Linked DNA regions of Canis lupus familiaris. The protein of the gene in region 2 interacts with the protein of the main gene of each other region in a pairwise test. Links are inferred from orthologs where the notes say so. Each region holds a gene or a part of one and is shown on either strand. Other genes may lie near its edges.

Region 1 (4,120 bases), on a different chromosome or scaffold from region 2:
TCCATGCACCGGGAGCCCGACGTGGGATTCGATCCCGGGACTCCAGGATCGCGCCCTGGGCCAAAGGCAGGCGCCAAACCGCTGCGCCACCAGGGATCCCTCTTTTTCTTTTTTAGTGAAGATTTTATTTATTCATGAGAGGCAGAGGCACAGGCAGAGGGAGGAGCAGGCTCCAGCAGGACTCGATCCCGCGTCCCCGGGGTCACGCCCCGGACCGACGACGCTCAACCGCTGAGCCACCCAGGCGTCCCTTGGGGTCATCTTTAATGCACCCCCCCACCCAGCTTCGTAACGGTTTTGGAAAAAGCAGCCTTCACACCAGAGGCTGCCTCAGCGTTTTTGGAAGAATGGAACCCGGGGCACAAAGAACAGCATTTGCCTTAGTCCCTCTCCTCTTCCTAATGCACTTATCTACCTAGAGCCCAGGGTCTCCCCGCCCCCGGAGGAGTTAACAGAGGAGGCCCTTTGGGACTTGTCAGAACATCAACAGAACACTCCAGCTCGGTAGGGTTGTGTATAAGCCAATTACACATACACAAACCACAACCATTTGTTTAGCGAATATCCATAACAAATACTATCTAATATCAGATTAGCCTAGCAGGTCATGTCATTGTAATGTCTTGGCTTGATTAATTCCTTACCGTCCGGAGCGCTTTAGGCTCGGCCTGACTTTCCTCGGGTCCCAGGTTCTCTCCTGCCCACGCTCCCAATTACCGTGTTGTGTCCCTAGGAAGAGGGACATCCTATCGCCCCTCCCCTTGGGTGTTTCAGGGAACTCTGCGTCTAGGAGCAAGGCAGCCACCCGGTGGGCACCCCAGATCAGAGCTCTGCGGCGAGCCGCTCCCTCGTCCTCCACCCAGTGGTCGCCCAGTAGACTACACTATCCTCTCCCGCGACTATGAATCACTGGGTCGGGAGGCTCCGGGACGGAGGCCACCGCTCTGGAAACAGCAGACGGCCGGCCCCGCAGCAGGCCAGCCCCCGCCGCGACCTCGCACCCGGCCAACCCCAGGAGAGCGGGCTAGACGCTGCTCCACCGCCCGGTCCAGCCCCCCTGGGAGTCCGCATCGGGCTCCGCCCCCACACTGGCGCTGGGAAGCACCGAGTCCTCCCTCCCACATGGCTACAGAGTCCGCGTCGGGATCATAAACATTTTCGGCGGAGAGAGAAGGCCCGGCCAGGCTCCCCGCCTCCTCGTTGGTCGCTCGCGGCCTCTAGTCCAGATCCAACTTGGGCGAGGAGGCGAGGCTTGGTGACGAGCTTCCGCCGGGATGCGCAGCAGCGGCGGGCGGGGCCTGGTGACGAACTTCCGCCGGGTTACGTAGCAGCGGTGGGCGGGGCGAGGGGCCCTCCGCGCACGGCGGCGAGTGGCTGGGACCCTCCCTCCTCTTCCCCTTCCCCTTCCCCTCCCAGGATAGGCCGAGGCCGGGACCGGCACCGGCGCTCTCCCGCGGCCGCCGCGGCCTCCGCTCCAGCCGGGCCGGGGTGCGGACGGTCCAGACCGCTTCCAGGGCGGTGCGTACTGCGCCTGCGCCGGCTCCCGCCTACGAGGCTGTGGGACGGGAGGGGGAGATGTCCCGCGGGGGTTGGGACGGGGGCTCGAGATACCGGAGGTCGGGACAAGGGACGGGAGCAGAGATGAGAAATGGAGGAAGGGAGCGGGAATAGGGAGGAGTCGGAGGTGAGGAAGGGGCGCTGGAGGCTGCTTTGGAGTAGGGGAGGCGGGTGCGGGAGGGGGCCTGGCCGACGGGAGGACCGGGAGGAGGGGACCTGGGGCTACAACGTGGTGTTTAAATGGCAGTGACGGCGGGCTGGGAGGGGAGGGGACGTTGGGGGGTAGCCTGGGCAGGGGCGGTGGAACCTGAGCCCCCGCCCTCGCCGCGCGGAGCTTGGCTCCTCTCCCGTGCCTGGTCCTTGGCAGCCTTGTCTTCCTCCATTCCTTCCCCCGCCCCCCCGCCCCCCTCCTTGAAGGAATCTTACATTCCTTACATCCCTTCCTTGGCTTTGCAACCGGGCCCTTTTCGCAGGCTTCACACACCAGAGAGCCTGCCCTAACCCAGCACTCTGCGAAACTGGGGAAGGGGGAGGGGGCTGACGGAGGAGCAGAAAGCCGAGAGAGGTGAGAGTGTTTGCCCAAGGGACTGGGCTGCGATGGTGGTGGTCCTGTACAGGTGGTTTTAGGCAAGAAGTCGATAGTGTCGCTGGCTGATAGTTTTCCCCCAGATGGGAATGGGGTAGACTAGTGGACAGGAATCTGAGGGATGTGATGATGTTACTACTCTGTGTGTCCAGCCAGACTTTGTGTCTGGGGCTGGTTCTTGGTCATTGAAAAGGAACAAGCTGCTTTCAAGCATTTCCTCACTAGCCTCCAGTATTCTAAATTTATTTTGCATTCTATTGTTACAAATGCCTTACCTGAAACACAGCTGTATTCAGTATGTCTTCACACTTATTATGTCTTTGATTTTCCAGGACGACATGTAAGGTAGATAAAGGCAGGTATCTTTCCTACTTGTCAGGTGAAGACATTGAAAACTACAGAAGAGATACTGACTTGTTTAAAGGCCTTGCAGTTGGCAGAGCTGGGACCAGAACCCAGGTCTCCTAACTCCTGGTCCTCCTCTTAGTTGAAAACTCCTGTTTTCTTCTGGCTAAGGGAGCATTCCAGCATGGGCAAGATTTGCTTGCTGAGTCTGGAGCTTGTCACTAGAAGACTGAGCAGAGCCACCAACAGTGGTTCCTGGAAGCATTTTGTGAAGTACAGGTGCATATGCCAGGCTGTTGGGAAATAGGGTGTTGTCAAAATGAGGGCAGCATTACACTCCTCTTGTGTTATGGGTGAGGGAGAAACAACTTCCTCCCTACCCCCCAAAGAGAAAGTGTGTCCGACATTACACCTTTATCTCTCTGGTTTGAAAATACCACACTAAATGTGTTTGGCTGATGAGCATAGTAAACTAATGAGCATGAGTACCAGACTCAGAAGAAGAAATGGTCTCAGTTTTATGCATAAAAATTATCATCATCCTTTTGCTTTGTAACACAGCCCTTAATCTGTTGATGGCCATATGATGGGGAGGAAGGGAGTTTGAACAGTTACTATTCTCCCGTGTAGTAGTATTGAGTAGACCTCACAGCACACTTCATCTGTATTGAGTAGACCTCACAGCACACTTCATCTGAAGCCTGTCCCCCTTTACTTGGTCTCATTCTCTTAGCAATGAGAGTCTAATCTTCCTAATCATACCTCTAGTCTTCCTAGTCGCCCACTCAGGAGTAATTTCCCATTTCATTACCTCTTCCTCTTCTTTTTTAGAGCCTGATCCTGTCAGGAATATTTTCAGACTTGGAAACTAGATTCATACCTGTATGAACATTCTTGAGTATCTTCTTATGAAATAGTATTTTTCAGGCGGAGGGTAGGATTAGAATTCTTTTTACATGATTTCGGTAATTTTTGTGAAAGCCTTTGGGAAACATTAAAGCATTCTACTCTGCGTGTAAGCTTTCGTTGATCTCTGCATTGTACAGCCACAGATCTGGAATCATTGACATTCCTTGTGGTTGTGTGCGCTGAATACGAGAATCTTCCTCTGTCTCAAACAACTCTTTTTTACCTTTTTTCTTGTCCCTTTCTCTGCCTGTCTCAGCTATGTTTGAATCTCCTGGATTGTGTGTGTGAGTCTGAGATTCCTTAGCCAGTGATCTCCATCCTTAGAAGGCAGTCTTGTGTCCCCAGCTCTGAAACGTGTTGCCCTTAATGAAATCGTCTCTTCAACCAGTCGCCAGATCCATGTCTGTCTAGTCTCACTGCCCGGTGGAGGTAGTTCCCCTGACTCACCTTTTTCTTCCTTGTTCCTATTAATAGAGTGCTCCTGATTGTGACATCACATCCATCCCCTTGGCGATGGAGCTTGTCACTAGGAAGGAAGACTCGGTCGGACAATAGCCAACAAGATGGGTTACTGGGAGCGTCTCCTGAGTGACACTGAGTGGAGGCCTCAGGGGGTTGGAGCCTTGTGAACAGGGAACCTACCCCCCAACACTTGGAAGGTAAAGAGCCTTGTTTCAGAATCCCATTCCAAGCTTCAGGTCTCATCTCAGACTATCTGGGTTC
Region 2 (3,500 bases):
CGCAAAACAGGTGAAAAGAGAAGCACAAGGAACTTGGAATGTGGAACCAGTCATCTTTAACAGATGAACTGGAAAATGTCAGCAAAGTCTCCTACTGGCTAAAATAGCTTAATATATTCCACTAATTGAAGGAAAGAAATCAACTAGTTTGAAACCAGCACATACACCTGTGGGTTACTCTGTGCGTTTTCTGCAATCACAGACAGGATTCTTCCACGTTGAACTGTGCAGATTTTTTTGTTCCAATGCAGGGCTTAGAAGTCCCTGGTTTTGTGATTAAGGAAAGTCTGAGAGAAGGAAGGACTGACTAGTCCGAACATCCTCTCTTGCCTCCACTCTTTTGTGTTTTACAAAGTAAACTAGCAGATATTACCAGATGACTGGCCTATCCTGAAATCCTAATGCAGCCTTTAAAAAGTGGAAGCCCCCTAGGGCGTGTGGGTAGCTCAGTAAGTTCAGGTCACCCAGTCCTGGGATGGAGCCCTGCAGAGTCAGGCTCTGTGTTCAGCAGGGTGTCGGCTTATCCCTCTCCCTTTGCCCCTCCCCCTGCTCGTACATGCGCATCCCTCGCAATCTCTCTCTAATAAATAAATAAAATCTTAAAAAATATATATATGTATATATATTAAAAAGGAAGCCCCTTGTAAAGTACATAAAGGAATGGCATCTCATTTGACAGGAAAAGAAATGCAGCAACTAAAAGTAGTCTTGAATCTTAGGGTGTACATCAGGCAATGGCTTAAAATACTTAGTGGCACTGTCTTATTAAGAATTTCTGAGGGATCCCTGTGTGGCGCAGCGGTTTGGCGCCTGCCTTTGGCCCAGGGCGCGATCCTGGAGACCCGGGATCGAATCCCACATCGGGCTCCCGGTGCATGGAGCCTGCTTCTCCCTCTGCCTATGTCTCTACCTCTCTCTCTCTCTGTGACTATCATAAATAAATTAAAAAATAATAATAAAAAAAAAATAAAAAGTTTAAAAAAAAAAAAAAAGAATTTCTGGGCAAAAAAAAAAAAAAAAAGAATTTCCGGGCAGCCTAGGTGGCTCAGCGGTTTAGCACCCCCTTCAGCCCAGGGCATGATCCTGGAGACCCGGGATCGAGTCCCACATCAGGCTCCCTGCATGGAGCCTGCTTCTCCCTCTGCCTGTCTCTCTCTCTCTCTCTCTCTCTCTCTCTCTGTGTGTCTCTCATGAATAAATAAATAAAATCTTAAAAAAAAAAATTCTTAGCAGGGCACCTGACTGGCTCAGTCAGTAGAGGATACAACTTTTAATCTCAGGGTTGTAAATTTGACCCCCATGTTAGGTGTAGAGACCACTTAAAAATAAAATCTTAACAAAAAAATTCCTTAGCAATACAGGACTCATGAGTTTCCTTCAACAGGAGGGCTCCCAGGAACACCACAACCAAGAGTCAGAGGGTCTGTGGAAGTTGCTGTAACAGCACAGGACAGTGATACCCCTGACATTTTGAGTAACCCTAAAAGGACACGTAAATAATTTCAAAGCATTCTTACTTCTGCAGCAGAGCAGAAAGCAGGTAATCTGACAGTTCTGAGAAACAGCTGAACAGTGCTGTCACTTGGCTATTAAAGATCAAATATGGGCAGCCCCGGTGGCGCAGCGGTTTAGCGCCGCCTGCAGCCCAGGGCGTGATCTGGAGACCCTGGATCGAGTCCCATGTCGGGCTCCCCGCATGGAGCCTGCTTCTCCCTCTGCCTGTGTCTCTGCCTCTCTCTCTCTCTCTCTCTCTCTCTCTGCATCTCTATGAATAAATAAATAAAATCTTAAAAAAAAAAAAAAGATCAAATATGACCAAGCTCAAAGAAGTCGCCATTTTCTAGGTAGCTGTTTTAAACCGGGCTAAAAGTCCTCATCCACCCCACAAAGCCAGGCACGCTGCTCTGGGGAGCTTAGCTGGGTGGAACGCTTTATCCTGGCTTTGAAAAAAAAAAACAAACACCTGCTTATTAAAATAAAAAGAATGTTGATTTTATCTATTTTACTAATCACACAAACAACATTGGAGAGAGCGAGCCAGTGGAAAAATGTATTTGGTTTCAGGGCTGGTGGAATGTTTAGAGTTACTTGAGCAGCTACATACTCTGCTTTCATGCGTCCAGCTGCGAATGCTGCCCTCCACATGTGGCCCTGCAGCTGTTTCAGTGCTGTGGTCTTTCGGTCCAAAGACATCTGCCAGCACACATTATCCACCACAGCCTGGATCATCTGCGGCAGGTCATCTGCTCCATTCCCAGATGCGGCAGGGATGGGAACAGCCCCATCCAGGTGGGAATCCTCTTCAGCCTTTAAGTCACAAACAACACGATATTTGTTTACTTGTTTTTTATAAAGATCACTTAAGATCTGAAAACCCAGCCGATCAACTTTCTCCAACTATCATTAACATCTAGCCCTGTTACTTACATTTTGGGGGGCTGATATGAATGCTTCCTAAAAGAAAGTGACTTATAATTAATAAATTACTTTGCTTTTCCTATATTGTTATAGCTGAAATTTAAATGGAGAGGCAGGGATCCCTGGGTGGCGCAGCGGTTTGGCGCCTGCCTTTGGCCCAGGGCGCAATCCTGGTGACCCGGGATCGAGTCCCCCGTTGGGCTCCCGGTGCATGGAGCCTGCTTCTCCCTCTGCCTGTGTCTCTGTCTCTCTCTCATCTCTCTCTGTGTGACTATCATAAATAAGTTAAAATAAATAAATAGGCATGTTGTACATGAGAAGAGACAGCATACAATGATAAAATGATATAGTAAGACCCAGTGTGTCGATTCACTTACTAGGATCAACAAACCAGGACTTTAATTAAATCTGGTCATTTTCTCTGTCCTATAATGAACTGAGGAATAAACAAAGAAAATGTCAAATCAGTTTATGCCAAAGATGGCAGAGGAGTAGATCTTAGTTTCGTCTGGTCCCAAGAATTCAACTAGATAGCTATTAAATCATTCTGAACACCTGCAAACTCAACCAGAGTTCTAAGGAAAGAATAGCTGCAACTCTACACATAGAAAAGAGACCACTTTCGGCAAGGTAAGAGGTGTGGAGAAGTGAATCCGAGGCGATATATGGGAAGATTAACTGCAGGTGGAAAAGACTCCGGCAGCTGGCACTGAAAAGTGACAGAGCAGTCGGGGTGAGGGATGTCCCTGCCAGAAAGGTGCTCAGGTGCCAAGCGGAGCAAAATCCTAGGTGGGACAGTGTGGCTTCAGGATCCTCGGGATCACAGGGGGGCTGGGAAGGGGGGAGAGGGGGAGGGAGGGCGCCTGAGTGTGGCATCGGAGAGTTCCCAGGCATTGGACCAGGGAAGCCAGCTGCAATCAGCGAGCCCAGGAGTGGGCCCTCAACTCCAGGTCTCCATAAACATCAAACCACAGCAGGGTTGGCGCAACTGCTCCCAGAGCAAGGGCCCAGGCAAGTGGCAGAACCTTAAAACCCTTCCCTTCCTTCTCTGGGAGGAGCAGCACAGCAGCATGCCAGAGTTT
Region 3 (3,064 bases), on a different chromosome or scaffold from region 2:
CTGTCTCTCATTTTTACTCCTAGGTTCTTATGCCCCCACCACACGTTCTCCTCCGCCTTTCCTGAGTCCCCAACCCCCACCAGCTCAGAGTCGGCTACAACACTGGCTGTGGAGTGTAAGGCACTAAACTCCACTTGGACAAATCCCTTCAGCTGTAAAGAACTGGAGCTATAAGCCCCCAAACTAGGTTTCCAAAAACTGTAAATAAAGGATCGATCCTAAGGTGTTCGGCACTAAAGTGGTGTGGTAGACTGTTTTCAACTAGCGGCTAAAAAATGGAAACGTAAGAGTTAAAGAAAATATCCCATTTATATAGCATCCTATGTTTCTATCAAGTTCCAAAGATTTAGTCAGTGAGCCTAGCTGGATAGCAATGTTCCATATGGATTTAAGTACTTGGCCACTTACTTGCCCCAAATGACTAGCAGTCCACTCTTCTGGGTGCCCCTGAGTACTTGAGTAGGAACTTCCTAGCAGTAAAACAAAGACAATAAACAGGATGTATCCAAAATCTGTTTATTGGGATAGTGTCCCACTCATCTTGATTCAGGGAGCTTTTAGTGCTGCTTCCGCCTGAAGGAGCATCCTGGAAGAAAAAACGGTTCAGAGATTGATAGCAGCCTACTTATCCTGCCACCCCCCAAGAAACGAGCGTGGCTGCTAATCCATCCACAGGAAAACTACATCTTTACTTTCCTCAAAACTTATAGCTACCAAAAAAAAAAAAAAAAAAACTTATAGCTACCACTTCAGCCGTTTATAGCCCTCGCGCTCCCTCATATGAAGCCCCTTTCATCATTACCCAGGTACAGCTTTAGGTTTGTTTTGGATCTAAGGAATGTGTGGTTTCTGGCAATCCTCTTGCGGGAGGGTGGCCGGCGGACTTTACAATCCAACAGCCTGCACGAGGCGGTCTGAGGACACACGACACCCCCCCCCCCCCCGCTCCAAGATTCAAGCCCCAACGACGACGTTCGCTCAGCAGCTCACCTTCTGTAAGCCTTGCTTTTCCTCCCGTGGGCTGGCAGAGGACAGTAGAACAGCCGACACACAGAACTACCGTCTGTGCGTGGCTGAAGACGGTGGTGATTTTGTAGCATCCTGGGAAGAGACGTCAGGAAGCGGGGAGTGAGGACCTTTCAGGCCTTTTCAGGCCCTCCTCGCTGGAGCCCGCTGGGAACCCGCCGCTCTCCTCACCCCCGCCCCGGGACCCTCCCCTCCCCCTCCCCCCCCCTCCCGCGTCGTTCCCCCCTGGCGGCGCCCCTCACCCGGGCACTTAACGTCCATGAAGTAGGAGTTGGGGCTCTGCACCAGGCGCTTCTTCTTGTGCTTCCTCTTCTCCTCTTCCGGGGACGGGTGCAGGAGATCCTTCGCAAGCTACGGGGGCACAAGGTGTGGTCAGAGCAGCAACGGCCCGGGGCAGTAGAGTGGGGAGGAGGAGGAACAGGAGCAAGAAGCAATAGCAGCGGCAGCAACAGCCCGCACCGCTCGGCGTCCGCAGCGGGGCCGCCATCTTATCCCCGCCCCGGGCCGCCCGCCGCCCGCCCCCGGCCGCCCGCGGTCCGCGGCCGGCCCCCACGGCCCGCACCCGGCGGAGGAGCACGCGCGCGCGCGGGAAGCGAGGGCTCCGCCGAGACCCGGGCGGAGGAACTCACGGGCATGTTCTCGTGGGGAGGTCGTCACCGCCGGAAAGGAGCGAAAGCGGAAATCCTGCCGCTTATATCCGCCGTCCGCCGGAAGTGACGCGCGCGCGCGTTCGGCCGCCATGCCGAAGTCCGCGCGCCGCCTGTGGCAGAAACCAGCGCCTTTGGACGGGCTGCTGCGCCGCGACCGTGGGAGCGCGTCCGTAGGGTACGCTGACGAACAGGCGCGCCCCGCCCTGCCTGGGACCTCTCCGCTTCCTTTGCTGTTTTTCCGTGGGTTTACTTTGCCCAGTCAGCACCCCGAAGTGTAAACACGGGAAAAGAAGGCCCGCCTATTTCCCCGCTTCCCCAGCTTGCTGCGAGGTCAGCGGCTGTTTTGTTTTATCCAGTGGTTTTCCTCTAAGTGACGATGACATCAGACGCTGGCGTAGTGCTCGCCCTGGGCGGCTGTGGCGGCCGGACATTGTACATCCGCACCGACACACTTGGAAAGGGCGAGGAGAAAGCAAACCGGGACCGGAGCCACGTCTTGTACAGTCGGGCCCAGCGTCTAGAAGGTCCCTTTGTCACCAGAGGACCGAAGACTTCTCGACGGCGTCTGGGAATGCAAGCAGAGGCGTGTGAACTCGGGTCAGGGGCGTGGAGTGTCGGGTGCAAACACCCGCCCCGCGGCCAGAGTCGAACTTCCAGAGTGACAGCGGCACTGGGAAGAGGGATCTCTGAGGGGCCGGAGTCTGGACAGAAGCACTGTGTGGGTTGACGGACAAAACCCAGGGCCAGACGGAGGGGAGGCATAGTTGCCGGAGCTCCGAGTGAAAGGCAGAGCGTCCGGGGCCGGGTTCAGGAACAGCTATTGTACCCCAGCATCGGTACCGTTTGGAGGGGTGGGCACCACACGCACCACACTCTGGGGATGGAGTCCAGTTCCAAGCAAAATGGAAAAAAAAAAAAAGAAGAATTGCTGGGTTATTGTCAGAATTAATGAAAGTTGAAGAATAAAGGACACTTTGGCTAGTGAGGAGAAATAGCGAAAACTCAAGATTTGTGATACAGCTTGAAGACATGGTGGGAGGTGAGAGAATGGACAAAGTGGGTTCAGTGGTGGTGTCTGAGAAGGGGCAAGCGCCGGCGCGAACGTGACCAGATGAGGGAAGTGTAGTACCAGTACGCTCTACATGAGGACAATTCTGACCCACTGTTAGAAAAGCAAATAGTTTGAACAGTTTTTTTTTTTTTTTCCCAAAAAGCAAAGATAAACTTGTTTCTTTATAGCCATGTTTTCCACTTAAGCTTTTTCCTTGCCTTTTCACAAACCTTTCATGTGGTCCCAAGAGGGCGGCCTCGGGGCTATGTTAAAGATCCATACCTCATCCAAAGAATGAAACCATGGGTCCCTGAGTGGCTCAGTCGGTTAAATATCT

Evidence for each region. The genes of interacting proteins can lie anywhere in the genome.
Region 1: the proteins of ENOPH1 (region 2) and RNF41 interact in binary tests that used the Homo sapiens proteins (3 or more experiments, as listed by UniProt). The link is inferred for Canis lupus familiaris from reciprocal best matches to the Homo sapiens genes ENOPH1 and RNF41.
Region 3: the proteins of ENOPH1 (region 2) and RPS27 interact in a two-hybrid assay, tested with the Homo sapiens proteins (2 studies listed by BioGRID and IntAct). The link is inferred for Canis lupus familiaris from reciprocal best matches to the Homo sapiens genes ENOPH1 and RPS27.

The regions. Positions count from the first base shown.
Region 1 is NC_049231.1:895,330-899,449, reverse strand, and holds the start of RNF41 (E3 ubiquitin-protein ligase NRDP1), read left to right. Parts: upstream 1-1,320; 5' UTR 1,321-1,518; intron 1,519-1,546; exon of another isoform or gene 1,547-1,684; intron 1,685-3,871; 5' UTR 3,872-4,056; intron 4,057-4,120. UniProt on the Homo sapiens protein: Acts as E3 ubiquitin-protein ligase and regulates the degradation of target proteins. Polyubiquitinates MYD88. Negatively regulates MYD88-dependent production of pro-inflammatory cytokines.
Region 2 is NC_049253.1:33,562,876-33,566,375, forward strand, and holds part of ENOPH1 (enolase-phosphatase E1), read right to left. Parts: intron 2,308-3,500; coding exon 2,105-2,307; intron 1-2,104. UniProt on the Homo sapiens protein: Bifunctional enzyme that catalyzes the enolization of 2,3-diketo-5-methylthiopentyl-1-phosphate (DK-MTP-1-P) into the intermediate 2-hydroxy-3-keto-5-methylthiopentenyl-1-phosphate (HK-MTPenyl-1-P), which is then dephosphorylated to form the acireductone 1,2-dihydroxy-3-keto-5-methylthiopentene (DHK-MTPene).
Region 3 is NC_049228.1:43,135,522-43,138,585, forward strand, and holds RPS27 (40S ribosomal protein S27), read right to left. Parts: upstream 1,695-3,064; 5' UTR 1,662-1,694; coding exon 1,656-1,661; intron 1,378-1,655; coding exon 1,269-1,377; intron 1,102-1,268; coding exon 991-1,101; intron 587-990; coding exon 558-586; 3' UTR 501-557; downstream 1-500. Other genes in the region: NUP210L (nuclear pore membrane glycoprotein 210-like), read left to right, coding at 24-127.